2 linked regions of the Drosophila melanogaster genome follow. The protein of the gene in region 1 purifies or fractionates together with the protein of each later gene. This does not show direct contact. Each region holds a gene or a part of one and is shown on either strand. Other genes may lie near its edges. The genes, in order: fl(2)d and msk.

The links.
Region 2: the proteins of fl(2)d (region 1) and msk purify together in Drosophila melanogaster (affinity purification with mass spectrometry, with the first as the bait; one study listed by BioGRID). This does not show direct contact.

Annotation. Positions count from the first base shown.
Region 1 is NT_033778.4:13,819,093-13,826,329, forward strand, and holds fl(2)d (female lethal d), read right to left. Parts: upstream 5,462-7,237; 5' UTR 5,037-5,461; coding exon 4,700-5,036; intron 3,084-4,699; exon of another isoform or gene 2,674-3,083; intron 2,466-2,673; coding exon 2,341-2,465; intron 2,278-2,340; coding exon 1,944-2,277; intron 1,878-1,943; coding exon 1,063-1,877; 3' UTR 532-1,062; downstream 1-531. Other genes in the region: CG13339 (uncharacterized protein), read left to right, coding at 5,828-6,065, 6,119-6,339. UniProt on the Drosophila melanogaster protein: Associated component of the WMM complex, a complex that mediates N6-methyladenosine (m6A) methylation of mRNAs, a modification that plays a role in the efficiency of mRNA splicing and is required for sex determination.
Region 2 is NT_037436.4:8,114,385-8,122,239, reverse strand, and holds msk (moleskin), read right to left. Parts: upstream 6,062-7,855; 5' UTR 5,801-6,061; coding exon 5,711-5,800; intron 4,936-5,710; coding exon 4,700-4,935; intron 4,645-4,699; coding exon 4,147-4,644; intron 4,084-4,146; coding exon 3,907-4,083; intron 3,694-3,906; coding exon 3,548-3,693; intron 3,496-3,547; coding exon 2,698-3,495; intron 2,636-2,697; coding exon 2,412-2,635; intron 2,329-2,411; coding exon 2,018-2,328; intron 1,963-2,017; coding exon 1,490-1,962; intron 1,426-1,489; coding exon 1,229-1,425; 3' UTR 661-1,228; downstream 1-660. Other genes in the region: ldbr (lariat debranching enzyme), read right to left, coding at 1-69, 125-321; Arp3 (Actin-related protein 3), read left to right, coding at 6,515-6,558, 6,652-6,832, 6,896-7,210, 7,447-7,855.

The sequences.
Region 1 (7,237 bases):
CGTACATCTAGACAAACAAACTCTCAGCCGAAAGGATATCTCCTCCGATCGGAACAGAACTCGCTAAGCTTTAGACACCCCACATTTCCCCATGGTAGTGTAATCAACTTGTGCCATTCGAACTGCCTAGTATTTGTTATTAACTATTTAATATGGAATCGGAAGTACGTTTAACCCCCTTGCAGGTTGTCTCACCACATCCCTACTCATTTTGTACATTTCGATTGAAAGTAGGGTAAAGCAAATATCAAACTATGCCAAGCTTGCAGGCCTCTTTACCAGAACATTTTAGCCCGATCTCAAGTTTAAACTCTTCTCACAGACACAAACGAAACAAAGGATACAAACACACTCGCTGGCAGCCACAATTGTACTACATACATAAACATATTTCGAATTCAATCAAATACAAGTAAAACCATTTGTCTAATGTGCTAAAAGAAGAAACTGATAATAAACACAAGATAATTTCGAAAATCAAAACGATTGTTTTGCTGGGCGGCAATTGAAATTAAAGGACACTGGTTTTTTGAAATATTTGTTATGCTTAACAATTTATTTTAACACAAGTTTATATTATTTTACACAACTTTCATAGTATTACAAAAATGCCTTAAGTTGATAATTAAAACCTAATTTTGCTAAATGACAAGTTTTGTTTTGACCAAGCTTTCTTTTCAGCTTTTCAGTAGATGCCGTGGTTAAAAAACATAAATAGTGTATCAGTTTTTAGCATTATCATTTAGCTCGATCGTATTATTGTAAATATATGTGCTGAAGTTTTACACTGTTCTACATAATGCATTTCGTATGTAAAGCAGTGACTTCTAAATAATTTGCGAATTATGTATGTCTACGCCGCATGCAAACGAAATAATAAACGTATTTTACAAGACAATGTGTAAAAAAAATTAAAGAATCTAAAAGATAGGTTAGAAATATAAAATGAAGTCTCTCTCTGTTTTGAAATCTCAATTCACAAAAGTAAACGTCAGGAATTAACGATCAATTTGACGAACTCATATGGAGTGCACCCTTTTTTGGAAAAAGGTTCGCCAGCGCTTAGGTGGAGTAGTCGACTGCTCCGCTGCCGTTCTGCTGCATGCGGACGGACCGACGACGGGTCAGGATGCGGCCCGGTGCCGCCGGAGCACCTGGATCGCCGCCCTCAACTGGGACACCCACTTGCACTCCCGTTTCCGGGATTATTCCCGTATTGCTGTTATTAACAGCCGCAGCGGCGGCAGCAGCCTCTTCGCTCGCCATTCCGGCCACAGCGTTGTCCACGATCATGGGGACGGCCACTGGTGTTGTCACTGGCTGATGATCCTCCTCCAGCTGGGAGTTGCGACGCGTGGTAATGCCTCGCAGCTTGGACTTTTTGGGCGGCAGAGTACGTGGGGCGGTAACTTCCCTGATGGGCGGCGCTTCCTGGACGTTATTTCCTACTGGGGTGGGAGTCGGCACCACCACTACCGTTGGAAGGGCTTCCTCCTCTTGGTAGTTTCGTTTGCGGGCTAATCGCGCTGCATTTCCGTTCATATTGCTGCCATCATCCGACAGTGGTATCTGTGGCACGGCCGCGATCTGTTCGTTGTTGGTATTCCCATTGTAACAATCCGGATTCGTTGGGTTATTCGCCATGCAAGCGTCCTCGTGAATGGTCTCTAGCTTATTTATCGTCGTGTTGGTGCCACCGTTGGTGGCAGCCGCTGGAGCCACAACCTCATCCTTGATGGCCTGTTTCAACTGGGCGTTCTCCTTCTCAAGCGTTTGTATGCGATCGCGTGTGGTCTTTAGTTCTTGCTGCAAAAACAGAATGGTGCTCTGCATGCCCTCCACATCCTCGTCCAGCTCCTGCAGGAAGTCGTCCAACTCTAAATGGTAAAGGAGTTTACATATCTATAAGTTTCGATCCCAATCCTAGTTCAGATTTAACCTACCCGACTGCGATTTCTTGACCTCTTCGCTGAAGCTCTTCTGCATGGCCAGTTCGGTCTCCAGCTTGGCCAGTCTGCCGTTGGAGGTCATCTTGCCCAGCTCCTCGTTCTCCTGATAGAGCAGTCGGCACTTGGCCATTAGGCGTTTGCCGGTATTAGAGTCCGGCGTGAACTTCCATGCGGACAGCTCGTTCTGGGTCTCCTCCAGCTTGGCCTTGGTGGCCTTAAGTTCCTTCTTGAGCCGCTCGAACAGGAGATTGACCGCAGGATCGAGCAGAGCAGTGCGCAATGCGAGGGCAGTTGGCGCCTGTTGGGCCTTGTACTCGGCAATTTGGCTCTAATGGGGATTACGGGTGCATTAGTATTTGAGAAATTTGTGTATATTAAGGCGAGTACCCACCACATAGTCCTGGAATTCTTGCTCCTTGTTGGCCAGCCGTCGCATGAGGATCTTCTCGCGTCGCTGGGCGTCCGCGCATTGCTGAGCCATGCGGACCTGTTCCAGCTTGAGATTCTCGATCTCATCTGCGAATCGAAGGATAAGGATTAGCTAATAATGGGGTCTAGATAACGGGCGTTCCAAGCTGAGAGAGCCACTGTCTTTTTTTTTTTTTTTTGGTTCGCACACGAGATATAACAATATCGTACTATATATACATAGATATTTTACAAGTTCTTAATGGGCAAGGCAAAGTGTTTGTTTTTTTAGGTGGAACTTAATACGAAATCATACCAATGCGTTGCAATCATTCGTGTAAGTTCGTGACATGGTCGGTGGAAAAGGCCGCATCCCGTCGTCAATCTCTGGCTGATAATGATATTGATTTAGATTTTGATTCGATGCGAGTGTCACAACTTGAACCACTTGAACTTGGACAACACGATATCGATTTCGGTATCGAATTCGCTTGCGGTTTGGATTTCGATTTCGATTGCTTCGTTATCTCTGGCATTATCATTGGCACTTGAATAACTTGAACACCTGCCATTATTTGCATTTTGATTTCTTGCTTTTGCTTATGCATTTGCATTTGCATCGAACTTGATTGGCGATTGAATTTGAATCTTCGCGGCATTTTCGAACTTGCATACACTGTGGAAAACAACGATGACTGATTGGTATACATATTTTTTGTGGCAAAACTGAAAATATTTTTGAAAAACACTTGCAAAAAACTCGACGCACACACAATGGGCTTTCGGAAGCTTTTTCGTATGCCTATGCATGGATGTATGTATGCATGGATTTCAAAAGCTTTTCCCCTTCTCTTTTTTGCGGCATTTTCGAACACTCTTTTGTCATACAAAAAGTTTATTGACTTTGCATTTTTTGTTGGATTTGTTGTGCAAACACGTACATATATAACTTCGCTTTTGTATTTACTTAGCCAAGCAATTATTTTATATTTATATATACTATTTGATCGGGGCAAACAAATGTGTGCATGTGCGTGTGTCCCACATTGCATGTTAATTGATTGATTGGCGGCCAATTAAGCGTTTAAAAATCAATTAAGTAAGCTTAACAATTGTGAATATACACACTCACACACAAACGCACACATGTTCGCCGTATTTTGGCGCCATTTATTTAAACATTTGTATTTGTTTGAACACACGAGGCAATGTTTTTTTCATTTGACGTTCACTTCTTTAACACAATTTCAACAGAAAAAGAATTTCAACTTTATTTTCTCTTTGGTTATGCACTGTCACATTTTCAATTGATTATTTAATATTATTATTTATATTTAGGCGCGACGAAAAGAGCGTGAGGGGCGCGAAGAGAGAGAATAAGATGGGTCCAGGGGGTGGGGCAGGGGACGCAGACACGTTGGCTCTCTTCTTCTCCTCTCCACTTCTCTGCTGCTGTGCTTCTTCTTCTTCTTCAACGGGCACGTAGGCAAACGAAAAGTGGTCGCAAAACGAAAACTGTACACCGCAAAAACGACGGAAAACGAGGAAAATCTCCGATTAGGATTCTCTACTATTATTACTTGATATGCTCTATTCATTTGATGTTATTATCAGCCCGGTTTTCTCATTAAGATTATATAAAATCTTAAACTTTACTTCGTTAACCTTATCTTCTTATGATTCATTTTATAATTTTTTATTTTAAGTACGATTGCTTTCAATATTAAAGCTTAGCTCAGCTTACTGGTTATAATTGGTTACGATTCTCATATATTATTTATGATTATTTAACTCATATTTTATATTTTAGATAGTTCTGTTGCACAACACTTTGTAATCACTTGATAACTTTAGGCGTCAGTTGCCTTTTAACTTAGTTCATATTTAGGTATTATAGATTATTATATGCATGGTCCTTTTTGAAAGCACTTTCACTACATTCGACGGTTTGCTCGAGGTGGTGTTGAAAAAAATAAATAAATAAAGTTAACCAAAACGCCGCTGAAAGAATGTTCGTTGCAAAGAGTGTTCGCTTCGATTCGATTCACATAATATATACGTTGAGTTCTTTACCGAGTGTTTTTCATAAACAAATTCAAATGACACAAGAAACCCAAGTGGAGTGGGGGCAGAAATAAACTAAAAGACTACGTTTACTTGTTGTTTATATATTGCATTATTTATACAATTTACACAGAGTCAACACTTTGGATCGTGGTTTTTTCCTTTTCTTTTTTTTTTTGTCGGTATTCGAAACGAGTATGTATGTAGTATATAGGGGGTATTATATAGATCAGATAGATCTCTGATCATATAGCAGTGTACCAAAATGTGCAAAATACCTTCGAGCAAGCGCTGTCGCTGTTCGGCGGCTGCAACAGCCTCTGCAACAGCTGCTGCATGTTGCTGCTGCTGCTGTTGTTGCTGCTGCTGCAAGTGTTGCTGTTGCTGCTGCTGCTGCTGCTGCTCCTGATGGTGATGATGGTGCGGATGCGGATGGTGATGATGATGGTGGTCCTCCAAGCCGGAGGGCGTTGGGGAGGCGGGGCCGCCAGTGGCCCCACTGTTTTGGCTGCTGTTTAGGATATTTAGGTTTTGCTCGTATTTGGTCGGGGGCATTTTGTCGTAACTGTTCATACAGGGTCTTTGATCGTCCATAGTCATTGCAGCGACACTCATTATTTGGATATTAAAACGCTGTGCTTGTTACTCTTGCTGTTGTTGTTGTTGTTGTTGCGGGTCCTTTGCTGGCGTTGTTGCTGTTGCTTTTCATAGGGGCCGCTCGCTCGCTCTCACACACGCACGCAAACACACACACACACAGGCGCTCTCACCTCCTCCAATACCACACGCACACACAGGCAAGCTATCGCTCACACCAATGGCGACGCGTATGGCGAACGTTTTGCAAAACGTTGATTTCGCGTACTTTTCGCGCTTGCTCAAAGCTTAATTAATGATTTATATCTTTATTGTCCTTTAATTCACACTTTTCATATGTTTTGGGTCGGTTGGGCTCACTTTTACGGCGATATTTTTTAATTTTTCTGCGCTGCGAGCTGATTTCTCGTTTGCTGCTGTTAACTGTTGTTCGCAATCCAACATGGCGTCGCTGAAAAATACCAGATTTGCCATCGACACAAATGCAGACCTGGGGTGCGTGGCTCGGATATGGGGTAGCGGAGACTCAACCCAGTTCCGTTCACACTGCCACAAATTTTGCCAAATAATTATTAGATAACAAATTTATTTAACTTCTAAATTGCACTGATAATTCCTTCCTTACGTCTACCGCCATAGCTTTGCATCCAATACTAACGATATTTACATAGTTAGAAATAATTAGGAACAATCAAATACAAGTGAGAAAGTTGTATCTTACGTTACTGTTTATTTTTTTGTAAGATTTATTTAGGGGTCACACTGGTGGACTGTTTTGGATATTGTTTTTATATTCAAAACGCAAAAACATGGCAGAAACCACTGGTGTGCAAATAAAACTGGAACAGCAAAACATCAAGGAGCGCCTGAATCTGCACGTCAAGCGGCGCCTGCAGCAGGATGCGGATAATCCCGCCGAGAGTCCCGAATTGCTGCCCACCGATGCGAATGCCAAGCGCAGCAAGACGAAAGATGTCTCAAAACCAAGAAAACCCTACCAAAAACGGACAGAAAAACCGAAAACAGAGGCGACCAAGTGCAAGAAAGGTATTTAAGTTGATTAAGCAATAGATTCCCCCAAATACATTGTTATTTTGCAGTTGGACAATTGGGCAGTCCGGCGGGTGAAGTGGATCCAATGGATGACCAGGAGACGGAAGGCTTTTCCCCGGAGGCGCCGGATGGCAAATCCGCCAGACGGGATTGCTGCAAAAATGCCGACATCCTCAACATAGTTTTGAACGCTAAGAAACGTAGTTTAATGCAGGATCCTGAAGTTCAGGCCTTCTGGACCGAAATAACCAATTGCATAAAGGGCTGAAAGCTTAACTGATCATAAGGGTCATTAGATCATAAGGAAATATTGTTGATGTTCGGGATATTTGTTATATGAACAACATTAAATATCTAATATTAGGGCTGTTGTACAAATATGTAAATAAAATAAAATAAGTGTTAATCCAAAAATTGTTCTATTATTCTAAATAGTTTCTAAATTTGTTTAAGAACTGGAAAAAAGCTACAAAACAAGTGCATACATTTGATCTATATAATGTGAAGAAGTAGTTAACATTATATAATATTTCAGTACAGATTTATAGCAGAGCAAAGCCGGCAGTTTTTCGGATTGATATCTTCAGTTCCAACCCTATTAACATAATGACATGAACCGACATTGCAAAAAAAATATATTTGTTTTAGCTATAAACAATCTGATAACAATATTGAAAGCAATAATACTCATTTGAAATTGAAATTTCTAGCTACAATGCTTTAAAATTAAGCAGTACTTTTTAAAAAATTTTCATTTTGTAGAAGCCAAGCAAAAATATTATGAAATTTATAACATAACATTGTTTTGAAAATGTTTTTTAGTATCTATAAAAATCCAATCCTCAATCGGTAATTTCTAAATTTTGAGAGAGAAGTAGTAAGCCTAGAAGTTTTAAAATACTTTTTTAAACTTATAGCAGACTAAAAATAAATTGAATTTATGACATAACATTATTATAAAAAATTTATTTGGATACTGTAGATATCCAATCATTCGGTAAATTTAAAAATTTGAAAAAAAATATATAAGCAAGAAGTATTGAAGTTAGATGTTTGAAAATACTTAAAACTTATCGCAGAATATAAAATAGAGATTTGCCAGGGTTGTTCAGTGCGCAATCTCTCTCTTTCGGTGAGATTCTCGCTCTCCAGAGAAACAGAAACAG
Region 2 (7,855 bases), on another chromosome or scaffold:
TTGGAGGCCTCATGGTTGCCGCCAATGAATATGGTCAGCACTGGTGCTACCAGCTCGCCACTGTAGTATCTTTAAAAATAAATGGATTACCTCCTGATCCACAAGCTGTCGAAACTCTACTCACTTGTAAAAGGAGCACATATCCAGGTACTTCTTTGGTACAGCCATCGTCTGCAAATCCTCCAGATTCCGGGTGGACTGAAAATCGCCACAGCACAATAACAAGTCGATCTTGGTGCCGCCAACCTTTTCGATGCCCTCTATGGTGTCGTATATTCGTTCCAGCTCGCCATGTGCACATCCTTCGACAGCTATTTTCATGGTTAATAAAGGTAAGTTACTACTTTATAAATAAAACTTGGTTGTAAACAAATGCAACCGGTTGTCCAAACAAATAACGCGTTCTGATATCGCTTATCGATCGGCAATTCAGTGTGAGAAAACGTCTTTGGGGAACGACAGGATGGACGCTCTTATCGATAACTCTACTTAATGACCGCCAATATTTAAACTGCTGAAATCTTCCGGAAACAAAGTCTTTCAGCACTTAGCATTATTAAATATAATTATATATATTAGATGTACTTATAAAATTCGTTCCCTGAACGGTTTAAATACCTCACAAAAAGGTACACAAATAAGAAAAAGATTTCTCCAGTTCAAACGTTAAAAATTTTTTTTTTTTATTTTTCAAAAATATCGCTTCATTTAGTACAGAATATACGTGTATGTGTGTATAAAGAAAATGTATGTGAAATGCTCTGCGTTGAATTCTCATTCTCTGACCTAGATGCCAACTTTTTTTTGGAGTTCTACGGGGGCGTGCTGGTGGGCACAATCTCATTTAATGAGACCTTCTCGTCCTGACGTGTTTGTTTTTCGTTTCGTTTCGTTTCGTTTACATACAAAGATTTACAATGGACTTAAGTTATCATAATTTAGTTGGCCGCCCTGGCCACAAAATAGGAAATAAAATATAAATCTACAATAAATATAGTGCGGTCTCGTCGCCGCTCGACCGATCGATTTTTTAATCTGATTAATCGACCGATTGTCGCAGCATACATGGGTACACGGAGTGTACGAAAACCAAGAGAATGCCTTCAAAGCCATCATCAGCATGCCAGATGTATTTTGTTTGATGTTTTTGTTATTTTTGGAAAGAATATGAGAAACAATCAAGTCAGAAATCGAACCAAGTGTCTGGTGATCTGGTCAATTCAGTTTCTTAGGAGCCGAACTTAAACGACGTGGGCACGGCAGTCTGCGGAAAGGCGAAGCCACCTTGCTTCTCGATCAGCTTCGATTCCTTGGCGGCTTTGCGTTGGTCAGCCGTCACCACCACCTCTTGCAGCGCCTTGGCTTGCTCAGGTGTGAGGTTGGAGGTCAACAGCGCATACCAGGCTTGGTCTTGTGCAGAAAGTGCTGATGGCGAAGATTAGGTTATTAGTTAGTTTTCCAATGGTGTACAAAATTCAGCACAACTTACCAGTAATAACTTCCTTAAACGTCCAGTACTCATCGATGGCGCTTTCGTTCTCCTCATCGTCGATGGGCGTGGTAAACGACTCCAGTCCAGTCTCGTTCAGATCACCCACAGACTCCTCGGCGTCACCGTCCGAGTCAGCATCGTCGTCCTTGATTTCGGCTTTCACTTCGAAGCCCGACTCATTGCCCTTGGTTTTGGCAAATTCGGCCAATTTATCCAGATAGTCCGGTGCCATTTCGTCCATGTCATCCTCGTCACTGGACAGAGCCTCCTCACAGTCGTCACCGTCCTCCTCCTCCTCATCTTCCTCTTCCTCCTGAGCACGAGACTCGTAGGCGCGTTTTAGACCATCGAAAAGCAAAATAAGTGCGGGCACAATCTTTCCAGCCACTTCGCTCAGAACCTGGGGCTTGGCTTCGCCCAGCGAGATGAGGGTGCACAGACCCAGGACGCAAAGTTTGCGATCGTGGATGCTGGAAAACGTAACAATAAACTATCTAGATCATTAAAAAGCATGTCCATTCTTACCCTAGGAAACAGTCCGTGTCGTGAAGCCACTGCTTGATAAAGTGCGCGCTGATAGAGTCGTTGTTTTGCTGGGACATTTTGTCCAGAATGGACAGCAGCAACTGGGGATTATAGTAGAGTGCCGCGATTACCACTTGCAGGCACATAGTGCGCAGCTCTGAGGATTGAACTTCACGTGTTAACCGGGACAGAGCCAGCTCCACGAACATATGTATCACTGAGTCGATTTGACCCTTGCACTGCAAGATAATCACTTCCATCAGTTTGGCGGCATGGCACTCGGGATCCTCGCCAGGGCTACTAGTAAGCATCTAAAATAAATTATAATTATTATAATTATTATTATAGTTATTCGAGGTTCAGACATATTTAATTATTAAGAATAGAAGCTTACCGTTTTGCACATGTCGAGAATCGCCAACAGCCTGTTGGGATTGGAGAGGAAAGCGGGCGTGTCGACCGTCACATAGTTATGCAGAGCAGGCATAATGTCGATAAAGTAGTCAATACCGTCCTTCTTGAACACCTGATAGATGAGCTCCAGCATCTGCCACATTTCGGGGGAAATGGCCTTGGCTGTCAGGTCGTAGACCAGGGAGAAGGTTTCCTCATAGAAGTCTGAAGAGATGACCAGATATTTTTATAAACGATATCAACGATTGAGGGCACAGCCAACTAACCAGTTATGTTGTGCTGGAAAATGTGTCCGACAACATTAATGACGATCGGGTGCAAGTTAAGCAGGACATCAGGATGCTCTTCCATCACACTGAGCAGAGTTTCGATAGTGTTAAGCAGACTCATGGCCGTGATGGCCTTCTCGTCGGATCCCTCCTCAGATTCTAGGACCTGGCTGAAGGTGGTGGCCAGGTGCTGGCAGATCTCGGTGGCCACGGGCAGCAATTGCTCGGTGAAGGTGCACACGATCTTTTGCATAACGTTTGTTAGATCTTCGTTCTCCGTCTCTCGAATGATGGTAAGCAGCTCCTTGGTGATCTCCTTGATCTGTGCCTCCACGTATTGCGGCGCCTCGTCCTGGGACGATATGAACATCTGCAGACCGATAGCTGCCTCCACTTTGACGGGCAGCTCCTTGTCGGTAAGCAAGGCGTTTGTGGTCAGACGCATTATCTCGGCCAGCACTTGGGGATTCTTGATTTGAACGTCACAGAAATAGTGCAGCACCCAGCACGCGCGCGCTCTCATGTGGCCCGCGGGATTTTGGAATTCTGGGAAGACGTAGGTGGTCAGCATGGACTCCACTTGGTCGCGGTACGAAGCCTTCTTCAGCAGTACGTCCGCCAGCGTTCCAATCATGTGCAAGGCACCATCTTTCTGTTTGTTGTCCGCATTCGGCGATGTAATTATCTGCATAATTGTGGCCATTGCCTTGGGCAAAATGCCCTTGCGCTTTTTGCACATAGAATGCAGCAGAGATTGGGCTGCCGGTACAGGTGTGGCATAATCCTCAAAGATATCTATTGGAATCGGTTAGTAATGTAGTTCAAGTCATTTAAAAAGTTCTCTTACCGAACTTAAGGCGAATGTACTCGTAGGGATCGCTTTCCCAGAGCTCCTGATCGGAGTCAGTAAACGACATGATGGGAAAGATCACGTCCTGGATGACAGCCACCATGTGAGGCTTAATCAGCTTCCAGGTGTAGGCGTGGCTAACCCTGCAAACGGAATAAATAACATTTAAAAAAACGAGTCAACTGATTGGAATCGACTTTTGTAACTGCAATTATAAACACTACATCTTATCAGCTTTAAAAATTTTCAGACTTTCTATCAAAGATTAGGTATCTCCTAATTAAGTAACATCGATTTTACATTCCAACTATATATCAAATGTCACATGAGAATTTATAGAATACTAAATTACTTACGCATTCTTCAGATAGTTGAGCACATCAGTGAGGACGCGTGGTGAGACGTAGACTCTGTTTCGGTACTGGTCGAGGATCTTGAGGAGCACCTCCAGCACGCCCTGGCTAAACGTGGGCAGATACCACTCTGCGAATTTTTGGTATTTTTCACTAACCACATTGCTGGGACTGCCATAACTAAATTTATACATACAACGTTAGTTATCTAGACTATGACTATAGATACTGCCGTCAACGTACCGCTCGAACATGCGAACCATGATGTGCAGGGCCCACTTCTTAGTCTTCCAGTAGGGGAACTCCGTTCGCTCATCATCGTCCAGGTGCGAGCTATCGGGCACTGCGCGATCAGCCACCTGACGACAGATCTCCATCCACTGCGAGAAGATCTCCTTGGTAATGAGGTCCAGTGGAAGGGTGTATTGCGTGAGGGCATAGTAGATCTTGAGAATTTGCTTTTGTAGCAGCACAGATTGCTCGGACTGCTCTGCCAGCAGTCGGACCATCAGCTGGTAGATCATGGGCAACAGTAGGTTCATTGCCTCGTTTAGCGGCGTCCTCTCCTCATGCCGCTTGTACTCGTAGGTCTTGACCAGCTGGTACATGGTTACCAGAGCTCCGTTCCAGCCGTTGACATCCTGGTTTTGCAGATATATGCTGATGCTATCCACCACCTGTGGCCAGCGTCCAGGGAAATCGCTTTTAATGATGTGATTGACGCAGACAGACAACTGGACCCTGTGTACAGAACGAAATTAGCCCCCTGGAAAGGATTTTCAATGGATTTACCCACCTAATCAACTCGGGGGCGTGCACAATAGCATCTACAATAGCGCCACGGATCATAGCCCGATCCTGTTCGTGTATAGAGAAGGGTATTGGCTCTCCAGGCTTGGCCTCGTGGTCCGACCAGCTGCTGTTGATCAGATTCTTGAGGTAGACAGCACCGGCCTGGCGCACCGGCTGTTCCACCGTCGTCTGCATAACGATCTGCAGTATGGTGGGCACAAATCCGATGATTTTGTGTATCTGTGGGGATTTTAATGTATAGAAATAAAATAGAATGGATATGTTTACACAGCTGTTTGGGGTTGGGTTAAATTTGAATTGGTCAAAGAATCAATGGCAGAAGCACTTTAAATTCCGTTCACAGAGCTCAATTAATATGGAGGAGCCAAGAACAACTGCTGGCCATAAGCGCTGATAAAGTTAATTGACAACAGGGGGGTTGGTGGGAGGCGATTGGGAGGGGCATGCAAATCGTTAGATGCTGACTCAGTCGTAATGAGCATGCCTCTACAGTGGGGCCAAAGCAATTGGTTAGTGGGGTGGGGTCTAATTAGACTGGCCGCTCTGATTGCCCACATTTATTTCCAAGGGAATTGCGTAAGCTTCAATCAAAGGGCATTCCGGCGATATTTCGAAAGTCTCAATTAAATATTTATTAACAATTCAGTGGATTTCCGAAGAATCACACGAAACTCGCAATAAATATGTACACATATAGAAATATATATAGCATACATACATATGTAGGTGCCCCAAAGATATCGACTTGTTGCCTCTGGGGCAACAACATAGAAGTCGGGATAATGGTAAACACATAAAGGGCAAACTTTTTGACCGATATCGGATTACACTATCCACACCCACACACTTGTACAACGACCAGAGTGATGAAGTGCGGGAGCGAGGGAGGTTAAAAGCGAACAATTAAAAAAGCACATGGTTTTCAGGCGATGGCGCCACCTCCAAAGACCTTTCGAATTCAAGTGCAGGCGTTTATTTTTGGGAGCAAACTCACCTGGGCCAGTTGATCCTCGGCCGCCTTGCGCTGTTCCGGATTCGGATCAATAGTTGCGCGCAACAGTTCCGTGAGTTTTTGTGCCTCCATTTTTGCTACTTTTGCTTGATTCTATGTTTCGCCGGTCTTTCTGCTGCACTTCGTCGTTTGGCGGTCACCTTGTGCCCACTGTGCACCCGCTGTTCTTGCCTTTATATAGACCTTGGTTTATGCTAGCCGAACCAGTGGCTCCAATGTGTGGGCCAAATTGCAAATCTCTTTTTCCGGAGGAAAAAACGTGGAAAAGACTCCACACACGCACACACACACCGCCGAAATTCGCGAGACGAACGAAGCTTAGAAGAAGAAGAAACAGCGCCTGTGTGTGTTGACTAACGCCGCAGTGTATGGGGCCCTACAGGGCTGCATTATGTTCGCCGGTAACAGTTTAGCCAAAAATTCGAGCAATATTGAAAAGCCTTCGCTGCGGAAAATCTAGGCACCATTTATATATAGACCACTTGCTTCATAAGGTAACTATATTTAAAGGCTTAAAAAACAGCGACTTTTCACAATTCCCGATAAATTGCCATTCAAGTTGCATGGCCAATCGATTGTTGCAGCCCTGGCAGCTGCTCGTACGTGAACACGCGAATGTGTGTGTGACGAAGAGCAAAGTGACACATAGTTGGAGGTGTGGTTGAAAATATATAGAAATCTGGGTTTATCTGCAACTGAAACGAAGGGAAATTTGTGTTAAAGGCGAGCGAAGATCGCAACTGAAGAGCTTTAACTGGCAGCAAGGCAAAAGGACGAGCAGCGACCATGGCAGGCAGGCTACCGGCATGCGTAATCGATGTGGGCACCGGGTGAGTTTTTAGTTTCGATTGCCCGTGGGGGTCTCCAATTGGACGGAAAGGAGGTCGACTGACTAACACTCTGCTTGTCTGCACATCCATCAGCTACTCCAAACTGGGATTTGCCGGGAATAAAGAGCCGCAGTTCATTATTCCCTCGGCGATTGCCATCAAGGAGTCGGCACGAGTGGGAGACACCAACACACGGCGCATCACAAAGGGCATCGAGGACCTGGACTTCTTCATCGGCGATGAGGCCTTCGATGCCACCGGCTACTCCATCAAGGTATGCTCTTGTATCTATGGTCATTAAGCAACCGACATCACATTTATCATTGCATTCCAATAGTATCCGGTGCGTCATGGTCTGGTGGAGGACTGGGACTTGATGGAGCGCTTTCTGGAGCAGTGCGTCTTTAAGTATCTGCGCGCCGAGCCTGAGGATCACTACTTCCTGCTGACTGAGCCGCCGCTAAATACGCCCGAAAATCGGGAGTACACCGCGGAGATAATGTTTGAGACGTTCAACGTTCCTGGTCTGTATATCGCCGTCCAGGCGGTGCTTGCCCTAGCCGCCAGTTGGGCCTCCCGGTCCGCAGAGGAGCGTACCCTTACAGGCATCGTGGTGGACAGCGGCGATGGAGTGACGCACGTCATACCCGTGGTAAGTAGCACAGATCTTATCTTATCAGCAGAGTTGGGTTGGCACTGGATTCGGTAAAAACTGTTTGAAAAGAGAACCCAAAACCGAAACAGTCGACGGATTTATTTAATAAATAAATAGCACATTCTGAGGCTATTATTAATACTACAGAATGTTATATTAAGAGGGAATTATTAAGATAAAATAGCGTATTAGTTATAACCATATAAATATATTAAGCTGTTTTTCATTTCTAGGCCGAGGGCTATGTGATCGGCTCCTGCATCAAGCACATTCCCATCGCGGGCCGCAATATCACCTCGTTCATCCAGAGCCTGCTACGCGAACGGGAGGTGGGCATTCCGCCGGAACAGAGCCTCGAGACTGCTAAAGCGATCAAGGAGAAGCACTGCTACATCTGTCCCGATATCGCCAAAGAATTTGCCAAGTACGACACGGAGCCGGGCAAGTGGATACGCAACTTTAGCGGCGTTAACACGGTAACCAAGGCGCCGTTCAATGTGGACGTGGGCTACGAGCGATTCCTGGGACCCGAGATCTTCTTCCATCCCGAGTTCTCAAACCCCGACTTTACCATTCCACTGTCGGAAATAGTGGATAATGTCATCCAAAACTGCCCAATCGATGTGCGGCGTCCTCTATACA